Linked DNA regions of Rhinolophus ferrumequinum. The main gene of each other region encodes a partner of the protein of the gene in region 2 in a complex. Links are inferred from orthologs where the notes say so. Each region holds a gene or a part of one and is shown on either strand. Other genes may lie near its edges. The genes, in order: WASHC3 and WASHC4.

Region 1 (11,288 bases), about 2.2 Mb from region 2:
ATTATAATGTATAATAATTTATCCAAAACATCTTTGACATTTAATCTAATAACAACAATAACTGTGAAGTACAGTTGTCCCCCATTATCTGTGGTTTTAGTTACGAATGGTCAACCATGGTCCAAAAATATTAAATGGAAAATTTCAGAAACAAACAATTCATAAGTTTTAAATTGCATGCTATTAAAATGCATAGCGTGATAAAAATCTCACGCCGTCCTTCCCAGGATGTGAATACTACTGTGAATTTTGCTGACTAAATTTCAAGTTAAAGAAACTGTGAAATTTAAGTTAAATATAGTTATTTTGTCATCCAAGTTCATGTACCCCAGTTTAAAACTACTATGCAAATGATTTTCTTAAAATCTGATCAACAATGACTTTTTCTCCTGGCTAGGGAAGATTTTTGTTGTAGATAAACCACGTTATTTTATTATCCATAAAAGTATTATCCATCTTCTCTAGAGCTGGTTTTTGAGAGTCTAAAAGATTACATAGAGGCTCCCAGCTAGCTCAGTCGGTAGAGCACGAGGCTCTTAAAATTTACATGTTATCTGGATTATACAATATAATGCTTTAATAAAAGACATACTACGTCAAAATTTTGAGTTTTTCTTAAAGTATGTAATTGATTTCTTTTGTAATCCTATACATTTTATTTTATACATTTAAAAACATAAATTTTGTTTCATTAGACTACCAAAGTGTACATGGCACAAATTAAGAATCTCTGCTTTTCAAAGATAATTTGGTATAACTGTTATTCCCATAACATATAATTATTCCTATAAAGTACATAAATACATACTCTTTAGAAAAGCCATTGTCACTTGATCAACTATACCTGGCTTCATTTATGGGCTGCTGAAGTTCATTTCTAAGATGTTGATGCCTTCTGCATTTTCCTTGTACAACCCCAGACTACTACAAAGCAAGTTTCTAACCTTGGGTCTACTGACATTTTGGGCTAGACAATTCTTTGTTGTGGGGGGCTGTCTGGTGCACTATAGGATGTGTAGCAGAATCTCTGACCTCTATCCACTCAATGCCACTAGTACTCTCCAGTCGTGACAACTAAAAATATTTCTTGACATTGCCAAATGTCTCGTAGTTCAGAACCACTGCTTTAACGTGTAGATGACTTGACTATGAATATAAATAATATAACCAACGAGAGTAACTGTGCCCATCTCTGAAAGTTTAAGCAAGGAGGAAATGGAAAGACATCAGTTTCCCATGTATTTAGCCACCCTTTTATCTTTATAAGGATTTAAAGCAAACCTGAAATATACCTTGGCTTGGGACAGTAGAGGAATTTACAAGTTACCTGAAATCTGTAAGCTGAGCTGAAAACTTCTTGATTTATCACCCATCTATTTCTAACGCAGAGTATTTTATTAAAGTGAAAAAGAAGACGAAAGGAAGAAATATGGAGTGAATAGTTAAACATGGAAACAAAAATAAAATACTGTGGTTTTTAGGTTTGTAAAATATCCAGTGTGCATATCCAATTCTCTAAAAGAGAAACAGTATTTTAAAATAATGGATCTCTTGGTATATCACACTGGATTGTACGTGTCCGAACAGCCAGAAAGGGAAGCAATTGCTGGTTTTATTAAGCTTCATCTGACACTTAAGCCCAGCAGTTGTAAAAGTTGTAAAAGCAGTTGTAAAAACTTGTAGCAATAAATAGTTTTAAACAAAACATTATTTGGTTGATAAGTCCGATGGTGGGCTTAAAACTGGATGTAGAAGATAAGCACTGTAAAGTTTTTTAGATTATGTGAGAATTCTCAGCAGTTTTGCCTATACTTAAGATTTTAGAAACAAAAAGAAACATTTTAGAATATGTTTTAAATGATTAAAAACCCAGTATTCTAGGCATGTTACAAGTCTGAGTCAAAATGACACATCTGACTATCCTGTTTATAGAGTAGCTTTGACTTTAAAATTCAATATAAGGTTAAATTTCTGCTCACTTTTATCTGCAATATGCATAGAACTTGCATTGAATGCCCCACCCACCCCACTCCCAATTTAAATTAGCAGTCCCAATGGACCACCATAAGATTTTGCTGATTAGGGCCAGAGTAGAAATGCTTACTGGGGATTTGTGAAGAGATGACCCTAAGTAACTCTGCAACTTGGATCTGATTCAGCTACTTTCCTTTCTCCCTCTTCTAACTTCTTTCCTACCCTGGATCCAGTCATTAGAACAGTTACAAAGTAGTCTGGTATCCAGAAAGTTTTTTAAAAGTTAAGTTCTTCACTTTTCTCTTTACTAGAGAACTCTAAAACCAGTATTAGTGATGAAGAGAGCCCCAGCAATTTATTTCAAATTTAATTACAGTTTAAGTTTAGCAGTGACTGAAGTTGTTACAGTTTGGGTTTGGTTCAAACCAGATTGTATGAAAAACAAAAAACAAAACACAAACAGGTATTTCTTCCCTCCCTCCCCCATTAACTTCCAGTTCAACACATAACAGCTGAGGTTCATGTTTTGTTGAGGGAAACAGTCATTTGGGTTCTTGTTTGAGGCTTTAAATGAGGATTATAGACCTACTAGGTGCCATGTCAAAAAACCACATTAATCTTAACTTGGAATAAAATGGCACCTTATGTTTGAACACATATATTATGTCCTTTGAATTCATCATATCAAAAAGACATTACATCAAAGGGATATGGCATAGCAAAGAGAATACGTATCTGAAAAATACAATTTGAAATAGCTATAAAAAAGACACTTTGAAGTCTCTCACTTGCAAATGATGTAAACATGCCTCTTATTCAGGGCAGAAGATGCAATATAACTGAATAGGGAGACATTTTTGTTTTTTCCAGTGAGTAGATCAGAGTTGGAATCCCAGCTCTGCTATTTTCCAGCTCTGTGAGTGTGGGCAAGTTAGCGCAGTTACTGCAGCTATAAATACTATGCACTTAAATATATGTTGAATGAATGAATGAATGGCTAAACAAATGATTTAAACTTCTCTACATCTTGTTTCTGTATTTCTAAGAGAGAGATAGCTGGACCTCTTCCAAAGGGCTGGCTGGAATGATTAAAGATATGTAAAGCAATTAGTACAATGCCTAGCACGGAATAAGCACTGTCATCACACCCAGCAAACAGTCTACAACTATATCCAAACTGCTAAAATATGAATTGTAAATAATGAGTCCTAGTCAACCTAGAGTATCATTCATTAAGGAGAAAAAGGCAATAAACATTTAAACTTCATGAGTTTTTAGTTAACAAGCTTGTCTCTAGAGTTCAAGGAAGAACTAGGGAATAGTGAACAATACAGTGAAAACAGCTGAGGGGAAGTTGAGAGAGGAAGTTGAGAAGGGGAGAAAAGAATGAATCACGAGGCTCTGATAATTCCTAAGAAATCAGTAAACAAGAGATGATGATTGTTATATCTGATCTAGTCCCCAGTCGACAGTACTCACTGCCCAGGCCATGAAAACCATGAGGCACTACAGAGGTGAGGCGCTATCCTTGGCCCAGAGCAGCTCAGTTAAGTTGCTTTCATAGGTGTGTTTGCTGGCTGTTGCTGTTTATTTTTTAACCCAGTGATGAGGGGATGGAGTATCTGCTCCTCTCTACTAACAATCCTGGAATAGTCGCTGTCCAGATACTTCTCTACCCATCCCTGACATAAAAAGTGAAGGACTAAATCCTTGGTTTACTGGTTTTTGGTCAGTCAATTCTACACCCATTTAGAGAGGCAGCAATATAAAACTCACTGAAGCAAGCACCTAGTCTCTGGACCTATTAGATAAAATATATTGAATTGAATCCCTTACTCTATCAATTATCATTTCAGTGCCTTTGTCTTAGTAAGAAGACAGAAAAGATTTTGATAGCTAGACAAAAACAGCAGCTGAAATCTACAAGTGAAAATAGTTTTCTTCTCTCCATGCAATTTTTATTAATCAGATATCTAAGAAAAACTCCATTTGCTAAGGCTATACCTTATGTTAAATACAACACATAAAGAACTCAATAGGCTTATTTAATTGGCTCACCTGTGAATTATGTGAGTTTATCTTTCTCCTTTCTTAAATCCAATTTCAACCCATGTTTCCCATTTCCTCCCCATTCTCTTTTTTGCCTTTTTCCCCCCTAAAGACAGGGATCTCTCATCTTTAATTGGGTACTTAATCCTCACTTCACAAATCAGTTGCAGAAAGTATTTTTATTTTCATAATGATATTTGATGCCAAAGCTATGTTTCTAGGCTACCTTCTTACCCATTTTTTTTTTTTTTGGCTCCAAAGATGTAAAATAATTTTAATATCAACTGAAACAATGTGAACTTGAAAATGTAAATCTTTGGGGTAAGAGAAACATAACTAATTTCAAAATACAAAATGTTTTCAACTGTGAAATTTTGGAATTCCTTTTGTTCTCTTTAATCATAAGCTTTACTGAACTATTTCACAAAGGCCTCTAGAAAACTAATGCAACAGAAGTGGAGTGCAGGACTGATGGTAACAGAATCAAAAAGGATTTAAAGTATGTTAACATAATTGGGTTCATATGGGAAGAGTAGACTGTAATTCTTGTTTTACTCATTTGCCGTCTTCAGAAGTGCAAAGTGATTTTTAGGGTACTCATTACACCAGTATCACAGGACCTACCTCCTCACAAACTGTAGAAAAGCGATTGAGGAACTGTACAGTGTGCACCACAAACTGGTTTAGAAATGCCACCGTTCTTTTCTGCTGAATAGCTGGCACCTGTGTTATGTAAAAAATATATATATATGTGATTCGTACAGGAGGAAGATACACTGTGCAATCCCTTTGATATTAATATAACGGGGTGTTTTATGAGCTGTGTGACACGAATCCCTTTTAGTACTGCCAACAGGCAGTCCATAGTTTGTTTTCCCAAATCGTGGGGGTGGGGTGTCCGAAGATGGCAGAAGCTGCAGAAAAGTTTGAGAATGGGCTCTGGATTCACAAGTAAGAACTTGTCGGTAAAGACAGCACACATAAACACACAAAAAACCTGGGGGCCGAGTAAAAGAGGTGGGGTTAGAGTTCGCAACCGGCCCATGTCGCCTTGAGCATAGAGACCCGTGAAGCGAGGGCTGGGAGAGGCACACGACCCCCTTAAACAGCTCGGGAGGGACCCCTTTTCAAGGTGAAGTGTGGGACTCTCCCTCCCGAGACCGGCCGAAGAGAAGCCCGGGGCCAGGGACAGGGTGAGGCATGGGAGATGGGGTCCCCCTGGGCATCGGGCGTCCCTTCCCCATCCTCCTCCCAGGTCACCGGAAGTTCAACTCCTTCCTTTACAAACCTTGGTCAGGTCTATGCCTGACCCCATGAGAGGAAGCCCGTCCTCATCCATCTCCTCAGCGGGCGGGGGACCCAGGGATCACCCACAAAGTCCTCCCTGACGTGGCCCGCCCAACCTGGTAATAGTGTTTAAACGTCTCCCCCAAGTCCCCGCCTCCCGGGCCCTTCCTGCCGGAAGGAAAAGTCCCCGCTCGCCAATCATTCGGCGGCTCTCGGAGAGCACGCCCCCCGCATGGCATTCTGGAATTGGTAGTTCTAGGTCTGGTTTGTCACGTCAGACGCGGGGTGCAGCGTGGTTGCAGTTCTCGTAGTAAAATCTTAAAAACGAGGCAAAAAAGAAGAGTAAATGATTGCGTCCTTTTGAGGTTATACCTGCTTAGTTTTATCTGTTAAATATATTTAGCTAGGGGTCATTCATTAATCAAGTGTGTGTGTGTGTAACTTTTTTTTTATGCTGAATGCCAGGTACTCTGCTAGGCCTTGTGGGGAATACCAAGATTGAGTCAGATTAAGCCCGCTGTGCTTTATGCCCTGACAGAGAAGATAAGACTTGTTTTTAGAGGACTTTAAAACATGAAATACGTTGGAAATATCCACTTAGAGACATCATCAAAAAGGGGCCACAGACACCTGAAAAGACTGCACCTGGGATTTGAAGATCTTGGTTCAGATTTTGATTGTGCAGTTTACCAGCTATGTGATCTAGGACAAGTCACCAAACCAAAAGTTGAACCCCTTCTACTAGATACCAAGCACGATGCTCAGTACTAAGAAGATGAAGAAAATCGTCTCTGCCTTCAAGAAGATTTTAATCTAAGGCAGACGTAGAGTCTGGAATTGCCACATCTAGTGCAAACAATACTGAGAAAGTTGTGCGCACACACCCACACAGAGGCAAAGTGCTTTGGTATTGTAGACGAAAGGTGCTTTTAAATCCTCTGAGAAAACCAGAGAAGATAGCTTTTAAACGACAGAAGGTAGTTTTTTAGCAGGTTCCTGAGTGGAGTTAGCCAGACAGACAATTTCGGGTGGATCTTTGTACAAACAAAGGCATAGAGGCATGGAGGAGTATGGTTTGTAGAGGCAATGGGTAACTGGTTGTGCTGAAGCAAAAAATCCCAGAAATGGAAAATGGAAGCAAATGAGACAGGAATGGACAGAAGAGCTCATTAAGGCCCTTTTATGCCAGATTTGATACTCTAGTTCATGTTTCTCCAAAGTGTGATCCATGGGCCAGTTGTATCAATTATTTGGGCGTGGATGGTGCTTCTTACAATGCACATTCCAGGAATTGACCTTAGATAAACTCAGGACCTCTGGGGGAAATCCGCATTTTAATCAACCTCGCTTGCCCCCACCATTATTCTGAACCAAAAGGTGTTATTTCTATAGGTGATGGAGCCATTCAAAAATTCTGAACACGAGAGTGACGATTTACATTTGTAAAAAGGCTGCCTAGCACATAGATGTGCAATAAAAGTTGGAAACAGAAAAGTTGAGAGTACTATTTGTAGACGTAGAAATGGGAGGTAGAAGTGAGGATGGATAGGATGAGGAATATGTTTAAATATATTTCTTCATGTCTCTGTATCTATGTAATTGTGACTATATAATCTCTTCACATATAATTGAATATTTCATTGTTATTTTTCAACAACATCTATTGAGCATCTTCTATGTTCTAAATACTGTACTAGCGCCACACTAAATAAGATAAACATTGTGAGTGACAGCTCTAGGCAACTGTCCTTTATGTTTTTTGCCTTGATAATGTCCATGAGTAGGAATTTTTCCATTAGGTTATAAATTCCTTGGGGTAAAGTGCTCGCTTCGGCAGCACATATACTAAATTCCTTGGGGTAAATATTATCTTCTTTTCTTATGAGTCCTCACTTAGTACCAGCCACTCTGCTTTTTAATGAATACTCATTAATAATTTTAATACATGGTCTTGAGGGCTGTGATCTAGGATGACCTGGGATGGTGTCAGGGATTGAAGAGAGCCAGCCATCCATCAATCCACAAGATATTCCTTACTATGTGCCAAGCACTAGTCTATGAATCTGGGATACAGTGTTAACAGAACAGACAAAAATTCTGCCCTCATGAAGGTAAACAGATAATGAACAAGTAAGCAAACAGACATTAAGTTGCTCACAGTCCAGCTAGGGAGACAGAAAAATGCAAAAAGATTAACAATGTGGTAGTCTAGGTTAAAGTATGCCCCAAACAGGAGCACCCAGATCAGATTGATGAAATTAGGTGTGGTTTCCTAGAGGAGCTGATGTCTTAGCTGAATTTTGAAGATACAAAAGTTAGCAAGGTGAAGCAAATGGGGAGGAGCATTCCACAAAGAGGAACAGTATGTACAAAGGTGGTGAGGTTTGCACGCCCGAGATCTACATGCTCCAGATAAGAGCACCCCTTCCCTGGCCTACACAGCACCTTTGGTAGGAGTGAAGACCATCACTCATTCTTTCATGAGCTCTCCTGCTTCTGGCAAGAGTCCCCCCCGCCCCCCCCCCGAATCCCCCTCCACACACACCTTTTCCTCAACTACTCTGTGCCTTAAAACATTCACAATTGGTCCGGGACTCCCAAGTTATCCCTCATCCTTCAGGCTCTCCTCAACCTCAACCATATGGGTTTCTACATCACCTTTCCTGACCCCTCCCCAACTTCTAGACCCTTCCTCTAGGGTTTGGGAATTGGGTCATTGGCAAAATCTTCATTTCTCAATCTCATCTTTGCTCATTCTTCTCTTCAAACTCAAGCTTGACTGTTTCTTGAGGATATAGCATCCTATTCATCCTGTGGTTCTTTTTTCACCCACACCCTTACAATACTAGGCCAGGAGGTGGGGTGGGTGTTTTCCTTGCTTCTCATTGCTTTCAGACCATTGTTGTTCCTTTTTCCTTACAAACGCCCCACAGCTCTGGGTTTATGCTATCAGACATAAAATGACATCCTCGTAGCGGTCATCTGCAGGCTCCTAGGTTACTGTTATTCATTCCTTGAAGTCCTTAGTTTATGGCTCACTGCCATTCCTTCTAACACTACTCTTGTTGTAATTCTTGAAATTTGAGTATCTACAGAGATCATCTTTCTGGTATCCTGATTTCTCAGTTCCGGCAATTCTCCTCCTGGGATCTTGTCCTGTACTCTCCTATTTCAGGCACACTCTCCCTTGCATGTTCAATCTTAGCAACCTGGGGGCTGGGATGGAGGCCTAAGTGATTTATTTTTGTGATTGGGTTCCTTCCAGACCCAAGTCTGTCCCACCAGCTTATACTGTTGGCAAAGTCTGCGCTGGTTTCTTCTTGACTCTGCATTTTCCCAGAGTGTCACAGGCTTGCTCTTCCATCTACTTATACCCAGACCAGACCCTTCTTCTTGAGTATGGCAATGCACAGCTCTCTGCTCACCTGTGTCCCTCTAGACATAAATACCTGTCAGAATTTAATTATTAAGATCTATCCACTGCTTCCCAACAACCCCATGGAAAAGTGTGATTACTTTATCTGGTTATTTCTTATTACTACAAATGTGAGAGGCTTTCTGACATCTTTCTATATCCTAATCAGTGGCAGAAGTCTAATCATCCTATCCTTAGAGCAGCTTTCCCTCATCCATCAAGACTAGATTAACTGTTCCTCCAAATACATGCTTCCTTCCATAGCATCTTCTGCTTCACTTCATCTCAGTACATATTATACTTACTTGTTTGTCTGAAGCACTAGACCATTGATTTAGGGCAGAGATTCTGCCTTGTTCACTATTAATGCCCTAGCTCAATGTCTGATCTATTGTAAACCCTCAGTACCTGTTGAATGCATTGGGGCCTAATGACCCTTGTGCTTTCACAGCTTACACGAATCCTTGATTTAGGTGGGACCCACAATTCTGGATAAATTGTTTCAATCAGCTCCCCAAAGCAGAATCCCAACTAAGCCAGCCTAGAGTCTAGCCTTCCTCTCCAGAGCCAGGAGAGGCTCCCAACCAGATAGGAAAAAAAGACAAAACGAAATCAGAGATCCGCTTTATGGTTATGTATTTATCTGTTCTCTATATATGTATAAAATAGAATTATAGAAACATGAACTTGTTCTCAGTCGGCCAATTGACAAAACACTTTTTTTTCACAGTGGTTCGGTTTCTTTATAAAACAAAAGACAAATATAATTCTAGAAGAGGAGAGTTCTAGTTAAGAGAAAGAAGAGTGGCAGTTTTTCTTTGCTTCCTGGGGTCCTTGATCATCAATCATCCCTAGCTCCTGACAGCAATGCCAGTCACAATTTAGTCACTGAATTTCCAGGACTATTAAAAACAATCTATAGCTGTAAGTCTTGGCCAACTGCCAGAAATCCTCTGAAATATGTTCTTCTTCCTGCAGGCTTTCTCTCATTGGAAATGTATTAGCATATTTCATTTACCGTAGTGAATTTTGATAGCAAAACAAGTTTATTGTAATGGATACCAGCTTCAAAGGGCAGAGACTAATATGCCATCTGCATCTATCTGTTCAATAAAAAAAAAATCTTAATTTTTCAATACTTATCTTGGTTTTCATAGCAGATTACTAGAAAAATCACTGCCATTTAACTTCATCATGGGTAAGTTCTAGGTGGGGTAAATAATGAGAATTGAGTTCCCGTTTTTCTTTTGTGTTTCTTTCTGCTCTGCTTCAGATGGAACAGTTAAAGGGGTATGTATTGGTTCATAATAGTGGGCAAATAAAATGTCCCCTATCCCTGCCCCACCTCACCCTTCAGGAGTGATACCAATTGTCTGTTGAAAAGGGAAAATAGTGTTAGTCAAGTGAAAGAATTCTATCCTAGTTATTTCCATTGTGTTAAGAATTCGTTGTTTTAGGCTACTTCTTTTAATTGTTCTGGCTTTTGGAACTTCACTCAGAAAGCTGGGTTGTAGGCTTATATCCTCTAGGCCGGAGACTGGATTCCCCTCTAGAAAGATGACTACTTCAAGAGGAGATCGAAAGATACTTACAGTTGGGGGGGGGTCTCCAATAAAACAGGTAGCCAGATGGTACTGCTTTCCTTGAGCGGGTTGGGGAAAGGTCTCAGTTGCATTTGTACCCGTGAGTTTTAATACATACAGGTGCCTAAGTGATGAAACAGAGAGGCTAATGCTATTGAGAGAATTTCTTAGTTACATTTCCCAGGAGAAAGGGGCATGCATGCCACACAGAGCCATTAGGTTTTGGTTAGGAGGTAGACAGAAGCAGGAGCCAGGGGAAAGCCTAGGCCAGGGTCTTTATTGGGGTTTCTGTGGGAAATGTATTATCTTTAGATACCCCTGGTCAGTTGCAGAGTGTGAAAGCATTCACAAGACTCAGACAAATGAGAAAGCAAGGAGAGGTTTTATTAGTCAGGAGAAAGGAAGCTAGTGTCAGTGTCTTGGGAAGACGGCTGCCCTTTCCTCTAGGATAGCTTTTTCTTATATAGAAAAAGGCAGGTAAATTTTCTTACAGCAGGAGATGTGACGCCCCTCTGAGATCATTTGATTGACGTATGCAGGTTACATAACGAGTTTCTGTGCATGCTCTTATCCATAATGCATACAGAAAAACCCACAGGGGTGCCAAACCTTAATGCTCATTTTATTCTAATTGCGGTTAGGCTTCAGCCATCTGCACAGGTGTCAGGAACAAACTCAATCCCGTTGGGGTCTTATCTGCCTTTTTAAGGGGTGTTTGAAGCTTATCTCTGAGACCAGGCTGGGCAGTTCCTGGGGAGGGGCTGCAGGCCTGGGCCATCCCGCTTGGGTCCACTGTCATTAACTCTTTTTCTGCCTCATCGGGAAAGGCAAGGCAGGGCAGGGATACAGCTGGAGATTGGCTAATGTGAATGACTGCCAATTTGATGTATGAAGGCTTACGTAAGATGGCTGGGGGTACAGGTACCTCCTGCTTTTCAAGTTTTTGTTACGCCACTTGGCTTTTACCGAAGGCCTACCTT
Region 2 (10,787 bases):
TATTATTACTTCTTTAAATAAATAAATATTCATGCATACTGTATATATTTAAACACATATTTGCTTTTAAATGTTTTTAACATCTTAAGAATACAAATAATTACCTCATATTTTAATTTCTTGATTTCACAACAAAGTGCAGCATAAACCGTGATGACTTTGTTTAAGACCTAGTTTCATGAGTAAAAAGATAAAAAAGAAAATTATAGCAGATAACTAAAGCATTTTAGACATAGATTTTTAGGTTTAGGAATCCGTACCTTATTTTCAGTCTTTATGAGTTCCAAAAGGGAAGACTGCTCATAAGGCAAAAGCTATAGAAACAAGGAAAAGAACATCTTTTTAATTTGAAAAGAATCACTGAAATCTTAAATGCACAAATTGAGACTAGCTCTATTCTATTTAACTTGTATTAGACCCTATATTCAATACTAGCACCATACCAGATGGGGAGTAACTACTAGTGGGTACAGGATGTCTATTTGGGGTGGTAAAAATGTTCTAAAATGGCTCTAAGGATGGTTGCGCAATTCTGTGAATACATTAAAAAGCAAGGAATTGAATGATATGTGAATTATATCTCAAGAAAGCTGTTATTTAAAAAGTCAATATGTGATTTAGAACTAGTACATAATAAATGCTCAATAAATGTTATTATTTAAGTGGTAACAGGCTATAGTTTCAAAGACAAAACAAGATAGAACTACCTCAAAATGGAACAAAGCAAGAATAACCTGTTTTATACATTGCAAAATTATTCCTACATTAAGATCCCCTAAATAACATAAAGGAACTTATGGTAAATGATGAAAATATTCTGTTATCTTGATTGAGATATGAGTTGCATGGGTATATGTGTTTGGCAAAATCACTGAACACTATATTTTCAATTTATGCATTTCATTGTATGCAAAATAACCTCTATAAGAAACAAATGCAGCCTGAATATTCTATTCCAATCTTCTTCATTTTCTTGAAAATGAAAAACAAAGGCTAGCTCAAAGAGTTGGATGGACTATGTGACATTCTTGACACTAAAGGCTTTGAGTGTGTGTCATTCTTTAAAAAAAAAACAAAAACATACAAAAATATCTGCATAGCATAGAAAAGGAAATTAACAATTTTCTCCAAATTTCTTTTATTTTCTAGATTCCAAATAATATATGCTCCATTTTTAACAATTATGTTTTCAAGATATAATATGTCCTGAAAATGTATACAAAAAAAAAAAATCAAACCTTTAATGCTATGGGATCAAGATTGAAATCCCAAACATCTCCAATTGAATCATCTAGTGCATCCTCAATTCTTCTCAATTGAGATGTATACTCCTCAAGAAATTTCCCATAATTCTTAAGTTGAACTTCAGCATGAATTTCTAAATTTAAATTTTAAAACAACATGTGAGAAGTACAAAAATGACACGACATTTACTTTATATAATCTCAAAAGTCACAGCGAAGTAGATACTAAGCATTACTAAATGTATTACTCTGGAATGTCTGGACTTCTTGAAAATAAAGATTCAAAGTTAAACGGTAATTCAGCTTTCAATATTTTCCAGATAAAATAATATTAAAAGCAGATGTTGCCATATACAGAGAGATATATATCACCTTAAAACTAATTTTAAAGTAGTATGAAAAAGTCATTACCATTTACCCTATAATCCAGGGCTTTTAAACAATCTGAATAATTCCTTAGACTATGCAATGTCTTAATTTTATGTTTTAGGCTTAAACAACATTTTTGCAAAAAATAAAATAAATTCATGACCTGAATTAAGTGTAAAAATCTGTGTTGTCATACAAGCAAAATTTAAAAACATAATTCTTAATTCTATGCACCTGTTTAAAAATACACCTATATAAATGTTTTTAAAATGCATTTAGACCTGCTTCATCATAATGATTATTATTGCAATGCCCCCAAATTTACCAAGATTTGCTTTCATTATTTAACTATCATAATAGAGTTGGAAAAGCCAGTAAAGAACACTAAGTACAGAATAATGTGGTGATATTTACAGAATTTACACATTAATAGATGACTCCAAAGAGGCATTGGAATAAACTTAACAATAAAGCTATGCCTATTGGTCAATATTAATGAAAGTAAATACGTATTCCACCTCATACATAAGAATTCATTTATTACAAAAGCAGCAAATTCAACTCCGACTCAGTTTCTTTTATTAACTTTATCCAATCCCTGTCTTCTAAAAAAGGTACAATTGTCTCTCCTCAAATTAGCAATGAGAAGCAACTCTAAGATAAAGTATCTTCTGATACGTTAAGGATAAAATAAAGATCTAGCTCCCCATTCTCCCTTATTTTGCAACTAATGCACTTGAATCAGGTGGATCCATTTAGTTCATTAAGGTTCTCATTAATCTAGGCAATTCTGAAAAACAATTAGTCTAGATATGATTCATAGTCCAAAAATTAATGAAAATCAGGCACAGAGAAGAGATGAGATGAGCTCTTCCCTATAGCTTAAAATAAAAACCGTGTAAGATTCTCAAAATCCCAAGTACACATTTAATTCTCAGTTACATGGAAAATGACCTTAGTTGTATTTATTCAACAAATAAGTTCTTAATGACAATACTAGAAAAACATGCCAATAAATTACTTATTTAGTCTGGGAATTCACAAAGTATCAGGCAACAGAAAACCTGTAATAACATTCAAGTTCCTTGCTGATAAGAAATAGTTGTAAAATTAGTAAAAGTTAAAATAAAAAAATTTGAAGTAAAAAACTATGTGGTGATTATTCAAGAGTGAAATTCCAAAAACCAATTTACATGCTTATCTCTTCCAACAGACTACATTCTTTGTTTTATCTTTGTATCCCTAATACCTAGCATAGCAACTGGTATACAGAAAACGTCTGCTGAGTGAATCAGATCACTGTACTCTAAGGTGAACCATTTTTAAACCCAATAAGATGTTTTTATCACAATTTTTTGAAGATGAAAGTAAATATTCTATTTTACACATAAGAATTCATTCTTTACTCCAAAGGCAGAGTTGGGGACCTTTGTCCATAGACCTTCATACATGATAAGGTGCAGTTCACTTTGTAACAGTAAATACAGAATCCTCTCCACAAAAAAAGTTAGAGAATTTTGTTATCACCACCAAGATTGTTTTCTAAGGCTGCAAAAGAGCTAATACCTTATAGAGTGAAAAACTGCAAACCATCCCTTAATTTACTCACGCTTCTTTGAAAGACTAAAACCTAATTACACCTAAGTTTGTACACCACTCTTTCTTTATAAAATCAAGCAAAATTCATAGGTAATTTTTTAAAATTACATTCACCTTTTGGAAAACTTGTATTAAAAACAAATTCACAAGCAGTATGTCCCAGTATCTCCAATATCACTTAAACAGATTAATAGCACCAAAAAAACAGACTGCCAACTTGTGTTAATCTTAAGAGTTTCACTACAATAATTAGTTTGGCCTCTAAATTTTGCTACGTGGAACTAAATTGGTCAGTTTCCTGTCACTGGATTCTAAGTTAAAGTCAGACAACTCGATTTTATGAAGCAAAACGTGAGGCAGATTTGCTGTAATTTTTGAAACCTTTCTAGCGACAATGGAAAGTACAGGACATCACTTTCATTTAACGTAAATAAAAGACATGGAAGGAGATAAATTAGCAATCACGTGTTAATTTCACCATGAGAAGAGTTCCTTTTCGCTATCTTCAACGGTTGTAAGAATGTGAAGGAAAAACCACTCAAACTTCCAAAAGTTGACTGGGGAGGGAAAAAAGAAAAACAGGAAACCGAAACAGGAACCCGGACCTCAGCCTCTGCTAGAACTGAACGCTCTGATGATCTGGCGAAAGCCCCGAGAGTCCAAAGACAGGACCAGCCTCCGCTCCCGGGGCTGCTGGGCCTCCCTGGACACGCCCCGCCCGCGTCCCCCGGCTGCAGAAAGTGGACGCCGCTCCCCCAGGGGCACCGCGGGCTCCTCTGGAGAGTCACCGCCCCGAATGCCGAGCCCTCATCGCGCCAGCCTGACCCGCCATTGCTGGGACCCTTATCCCCAAAAGTAACGCGCTTGAGAACGCGTCCCTCTCAATGGGCAGAAAGTGCCCCGAACCCGACGGCTGCGCAGCGACCGCGACGCAAGCCCTCCCGCAGAAACGCCGCCAAGGCTGAGGCCGGAGCGGAAGCTCCCACCCGCAGCCCTATCCCTGCTGCTCCCTTACTCTGTGAGCCGTCGTCGACGCGGTCGAATTCCCAGTCCGGGGACAGAGTCTCCACCGCCATCACTACGACGCCTCCCTCAGTCACAGCTCCAGCCAGCCTGGTGGACTACGGCGGCCTCACCCCAGCGGCTGTCAAAACACGTGATTTCCGGCTCTGGCACCACCCCCGTGCGCGAGGGGCGCGGGGGCCGCTGGGAAAGCGAGTCCTACCCGGTGGCCGAAGGGAGCTGCAGTTGAGGCGGCGGTCCTCACGGTGTCCTCCCGTTTCTACTTGGGCTTCGCCACTGCTCTCTTCTGATGCCACACCTATACCCTCAATTTCGCCCTGCTGTCTCCAAGCTACTTTTAATACCTGGGAGTTGCTCCCTCAGTCGAGCCTAAAAAGGGCAAAATTGATGAGGTGGGGGCTTAACAGGAAGGCGTGGTCCGATCCTCGAGGAAGTCGCTGTCCAGGCGATTCTTCCAAGAAGCCAGCATTTTCAACGCTCTACCTGTCATCACCATCCGAGAGCTGCTTTCTTCCTGCACGTCTTGTGCGGATCGTTCTTGAAAAAAACAAAGAACTGCGAGGAATAGTGACTTTACAAACAACAAACCATAGCGAGGAATTTTACTACTCTACTTATGTGATACTTGCACGCTCTCCTCCCCCTGCTCTCAAAGGTGGGGGGAGGGGGAAAGCGCTGTCTAAGTGTGTTTTTAAATGTCTACCTGCTACCTGGCTTTTCCGAAAATAAGAATCTGTGTTACCCAGTAACGCTACTTACACTAATGTTCATTGCTGCATGGTTTTTAACAGATACTAATAGGACAAGATACAAATGTCCATCAACAGGGAATAATTACGTAAAGTTTAATAATCCACACTATGAAATACTAGATATCTGTCAAACGAAATGAAATAGATTTATAGAGGCATGCGAAAACTGTTAATGTCTTCAACCAGTATTTAATCAAGACCTCCTCTGGTTAATATTACCACAGGGACTAAAACCCTTCAAAGAGTTCGGTTGTCTGGTAAGGGAAATTAGTAAGATATTTTAACTCAGGGATCAACAAAGTACAGTTGATAGATCTGCCACCTGCTTTTGTAAATAAAGATTTAATGGAACACAATCATGCCCATGTATTTGCATATTGTCTATGGCTGCTTCATAACACAATGGCAGAGTGGAGTAGTCCCTACAGTGACCATATTGCCCAGGAGGCTAAAATATTTACTATCAGGCCCTTAAGAGAAAGTTTGCCAGCCCTTACTTTAACTTCAGAAGAGCAAAATAAGAAAAAAAAAAGTCTTTCTATATAAGCTGTAGTCTACAGAGTGGGTTGAAATAACCTAATTTAAAAAGCATAATGATCTTAGAAAAGTCTTATAATTAATACATCAAAGTAATTGACAGGACACCTCTAGGTCCTGGAGGCAAGGAGGCAACCTAAAGTACTCAAATAGACTGGTTTGCAGTTAATAAAGTAGATAAAAATAACTTTTTAAAGATCTGAAAGAGAATAAAAGCAGGCAGAAACCACAGGAAAATTTATTCAGCAACTGGTAATAATTATGTTTATGGCTTTTTGCCTGACAGTGTCTTTCATCGCTTCAAATACAGGATTGCAACACTGCAGTTTTACTGGCTCGAGGTGGAGCAAAATTAAGTTCAGGGTTGTTGGAAGAGATGCCAGAAATTTGGGGGGTAGGGGGGAATCCTGAAGCAAGGGACACACAGAAGGGATGAAATCTAAATTCCGAATATAAACCCTGCCCTGATTCCTGGCTGACCACTAAACTACATGAAAGAGGGTCTGCTGAAATAGCAGTCAGGAGTCCTTGAAAAACAACTGTTGAGAGGTGTGTTTGCTGCCCTTTGATGCACATATTCTCCAACAGATGTGCACATCAGGTAGCAAAAGCTAACACCCTGTGGGTTTAAGATAGCGGAGAACAGAGGTTGGGCTCACAGAGCAGCTTGAAATTTAGAAGGAAAAACTGATAATCAAGGGAACTACAAAGGGAGTGAACTCCAAAATCTGAGCAAAAACACTGGCCAAATCTTTGTCTAAATGAAGAACTAAGCAGAAAAATAAGCTGCTGTACTCTACAAGGTTTGAGTCCAAGCAAACTTACTTCTTTCTAAATTAAAACCACAATAATTTTCTTAAGAATATCACAGAGAGTCACCGAATTGGCATTTTTTGATAATGAGTGATAAAGTTTTATTAACCAAAATCTGACAGAATAGAAAGAAGAAATAGATAAAATTATAAGTACAGTTGAAAATTTTAACACTTCTCTCTTGGTATTTGATATAACAAGTAGACAGAATATAGGATTGAATGATATCTCAACCAACTTGTCCGAATTGATATGTATAAGACATTCTACCCAACAACAGTAAAAGAGACATTCTTTCAAGCATACAAGAAATATTCAGTAAGACAGGCCATATACTATGCCACGAAACAAGTCTCACTACATTTAAATGGATTGAAATGTTATAGTTATATTCTCTGACCACAATGGAATTGTATTAGAAATCAATAACAGAAGAATCTCAAAATCCCTGGAATTCCCTAAATATTAGCACAAATCTCAAGTGCATTATGTTTAATGAAGAAAATCAGTCTAAAAAGTTACACAGTCTGTGATTACATTCATTTGACTTTCTTGAGGAAATAAAACTACAGTGGTAGAGAACATTTTAGTGGTTATCAGGATTAAGGGGTGGTTCGTAGACATGACTACAAAGGGATAGGGCAAGGAATTTGGGGGTGGGGGCTATGGGGAGTAGAACTGTTCTGTATCCTGATTGGTTCCTTACAGAGATCTATACATTTGTTAAAACTCAGAACTGTATACCAAAAATAAAGGCCATTTTGCTGTATGTTAATTTTAATACATCTCTTTGTGGGATTGGCCTTCACATGTGACTTCAGGATTGGACTTCAGGATTTAAATGATGTCAGCTCTTGGATTTTCACTTTTTCTTTTTGTTTCTTCACAGCTTTTGCTATGTGGTAGCCCTTGGCAGTTTCAGGCTCATCACCATACCAGATCTAGCAAAAGAGAAAAAAGGAACATGCAACTGATAGCTCAAACAGAAGTCCCAGAATTAAGTGGCTGGCCTTGATTCGCCTCATTACTAACACATTGTGTATACTGCTGAACCAATCATTGTAAGTCAGGGGATGGGAAGGATGTACGGATTGGCTTAGTCTAGGTCATGTGCTTCACCACTGGATCCTGCAGGGAGGGGTTGAGGGAGAGGTAACTTCATAGGAACCACATGGCCTAAGAGAGGGGGAGAAGCAGATCCTCAGAGGAAAACCAGGATACTGTTATCCCAAGTAGTGGGCTGGTCTTACAGTAGTGCTCTACCTGTAGATCACACTCTCTCCTAGGGTGATGTCTTCTTAGAATAGCAGTTGAGAGCCTGAGCTGTTCACTGGACTCCCTTCTTCTTGGCAGGTGTTTCTTGATACTATTCAGTTTCTTGATACTGAAAACTGCTTTGCTTTTCAGCATTTTCTTCTTAGTTTTATAGCCTTAATCCCATATTCCATAAGAATCAGCAAATAACTCAAACTGAAAACAGGTGTCGTGAAATAGGTACATCTCCCTTATCTTTAAAATATTGGCTCCTCAAGTCCTGGCCACTCAAACTCCAATTGTTGTTCTTTCTAACCCCATCAGATGCCTGAAAAACTGCTGGTTTCTTTGCCTTTTGGCATTTATTCGCTACCTGGTCAGCTTCTTTCCCCAAACCAAGCATTGATAAATGCCAAGTTGAAGAGCAAAATGCAAAATGTTAGATTCAATTCAACATTTGAATTGTTGGATTCAATTCAAGTGAGCTTCTTTTCCTTCCAAGACCTTGATACATCAAGTCTTGACTGCTGCATAAGCTTTCTGATGCCTTCAGATATGTGCTAAATTTGTTTTATCGAAATATACTAACTATTCTTGATGAGTGTTGTTCTGCTGAAAAGGAGTATTATAACTTAAAATGAAGTCTCATTTTATGTTTTTAATGTCTGTATGATCTGGTCTAATGTTCACTTCTCTGTTCTTGATATTTGTTATTTCTGCTTTCTCTATTTTTTCTTCATCAATCTCCTCAAAAGTTTATCCATTTTATTTTCAAAAAACCAACTTTTGGTTTTGTTGATCCTTTTTATTGTATGTATTTGGTCCTCAAAGGAGATGCCAAGATGAGATTAGACATGGGAGGGATTTATTAGGGGAAACAGCTGTAAGAAGAAAGGGAGAGCGGAGCCAGGGAAGGCTAAGACACCCATTAGGCTGCAATTCAGGAGAGAAGGAGAGAAGGAAGAAAAGTAGGCTAGGGAAGAGTATTAAAATGCTCTGAAATTCAAAGAAAATCTGGTAGGCCAATAGAGAGTCACCTCATGACCGTGATCTACATCTCCCAGGAATGACCTGCCTTAGTATACCTGGCCCTCTTGGTCATTGGCTGGGAGAAACCCATGGGAGGCATGGACTCAGTGTGAATGTGGAGATCAATTTTGGAGTACAACAGCTGAACCCATCAGTCAGTCATGCTTCCTGCAGTTGACAATCTGTCAGTGGATACTCTCAAGGTTGTCATCTACTATAATATTGGGTCACAGGAAAGCAGTTATACTAATGGAAACAAGATCCAAAAGGAATGCCTGCTCCAAAAGCTGGCAAGTGAAAGATAAATAGGAAAAACTGAAAAAAGTTTATTTCAGGCCCCAAACTTTCATCTTAGATAAGGGTAACTTGCTTTCAACTTTGCTTCTTCAGCTTTCTCTAGACTAGGCACTTTTCTCTCATTTCCTTCGTCTCAGCAAAGATGTCTTGGGAATGTCTATAGACACACGGTGCTCCCTCAAACACCAACACTGGGAAAGGCAAATAACATACCATCTCTTCCAGCAACTTTCCCTATCGTTATTTAGAAGTGCATTTTATAATTTCCAAAGAAGTGGTGATGCCACCAATTATCTTTTTGTTGTTGATTTCTAGCTTAATTCCACTGTAGCCAGAGCCGTACTCTATGATTTAAAGTGTTTAGAGGCTAGCATATGGTGAATTTTTGACAATATCTTGTACGCATTTAAAAAGAATGTGTATTTGGTAGTTGTATGCTTCTGTATTTGTTAATTAGGTCAAGTGCATTAATCATCTTATTTAAATGTTCTGTGTCATTGCTAGTATTTTGTCTGCTTCGATCAGTTATTAAGTAAAGTATGTCAAAATCTTCAAGTATACTTGCAGGTTTGTCTATTTTTCCTTGAAATTCTGATCATTTGTGCTTTATAAAATTTGAGACTATGTTACTAAGCATATACAAATTTAAAATTTTTATGTCTTTCTGTCAGATTAACATTTTCTTTTGGTTAGTGTATGGGTGGTTTCTAAAAAAATCACATTCTGAACTTTACATTTTATGAGTCTCCCTTGTAAGAGTTTTGTTTTTTTAAGCAATCTGACAAGATTTGCCCTTTAATTAAAGCAGTTAGAAATGGTTGAACTGGGTTTTCTTGTTTAGTTTAAATAAAAAAAATTAAAATATACATATTTTATAAAGGCTGATGATAATCCCCAGAGCTGCTAAGAAAAAGATCACTTTTTGTATCCCACCTTTTAGGTGTAATCTGGTGATATGCATTAGTGTTTAAACTGCTCCCTATGGTTCAGAAACCATATCTCATCCTAAAGACCTGACAGGATCCTTTCGTGAGGACGAAGACTGGTCGCTTACTGAAGGTTGCTCAGGAGAGAGACTAGAAACAACCTAATGTCTGGCAGCAGGAATAGGTTAAATAAATGACCTATATGACTCTCCATGGAGTGTGGGACAGGGGCTAAGAATGAGTGTACAGAACTTTATATGCGAATTAAAAAAAATAAAGTATTTTTTCATTTCCATTTTCCATTTTCATTTACTGCAATTACTGGTATATTTAAGCTTAAATCTAACATGTTACTTGTTTCCTACTATTTTTTTCTGCCTATTCCATGTTCCTCATTCTCTTCTTTTGAATTGGTTTTTTTTATTGTTCTATTATCCGATAGTTTTACATTCTACTAACTTAGTAGTTATACATTGTATTACTATTCTTTTAGTGATTATACTAGATTATAATAGGCATCCTTAGCTTACTAAAGTATAACATAAATTAGTGCTTTTATTATTTCTAAGGCAATGCAGTGGCCTTAGAACACTTTCACTCTACCTTCTCTCCCTAAAAATCATATGCTATTCTCATCATATATTTTAATTATATGTATTTAGGAGCTGCACAAAATATTACTAGAATTGTTTTAGACAATTAATATTAACTTAAATTTGCCCTCATATTTATCCTTTCCATTGCTCTTCATTCCTTCATTTCTGAACTTCCATCTGGGATTATTATCTTTCTGCCTAATGAACATTCCATTCTTCCAAGCCCTCCAATCATATCCAACAATTTTTATTGTTGTTTATATATTTTCATACATGTATATATCGTGCATGCATCGCTATCCACCTATATATATATGTACATATATATATATACACACACACAAGACA

What was found.
Region 1: WASHC4 (region 2) and WASHC3 share a complex: the UniProt entries of both Homo sapiens proteins name them as parts of the WASH core complex. The link is inferred for Rhinolophus ferrumequinum from reciprocal best matches to the Homo sapiens genes WASHC4 and WASHC3.

The regions. Positions count from the first base shown.
Region 1 is NC_046293.1:17,288,347-17,299,634, reverse strand, and holds the start of WASHC3 (WASH complex subunit 3), read right to left. Parts: upstream 5,467-11,288; 5' UTR 5,363-5,466; coding exon 5,312-5,362; intron 4,747-5,311; coding exon 4,648-4,746; intron 1-4,647. UniProt on the Homo sapiens protein: Acts as a component of the WASH core complex that functions as a nucleation-promoting factor (NPF) at the surface of endosomes, where it recruits and activates the Arp2/3 complex to induce actin polymerization, playing a key role in the fission of tubules that serve as transport intermediates during endosome sorting.
Region 2 is NC_046293.1:15,083,319-15,094,105, forward strand, and holds the start of WASHC4 (WASH complex subunit 4), read right to left. Parts: upstream 4,357-10,787; 5' UTR 4,289-4,356; coding exon 4,228-4,288; intron 1,379-4,227; coding exon 1,239-1,378; intron 315-1,238; coding exon 261-314; intron 171-260; coding exon 105-170; intron 1-104. UniProt on the Homo sapiens protein: Acts as a component of the WASH core complex that functions as a nucleation-promoting factor (NPF) at the surface of endosomes, where it recruits and activates the Arp2/3 complex to induce actin polymerization, playing a key role in the fission of tubules that serve as transport intermediates during endosome sorting.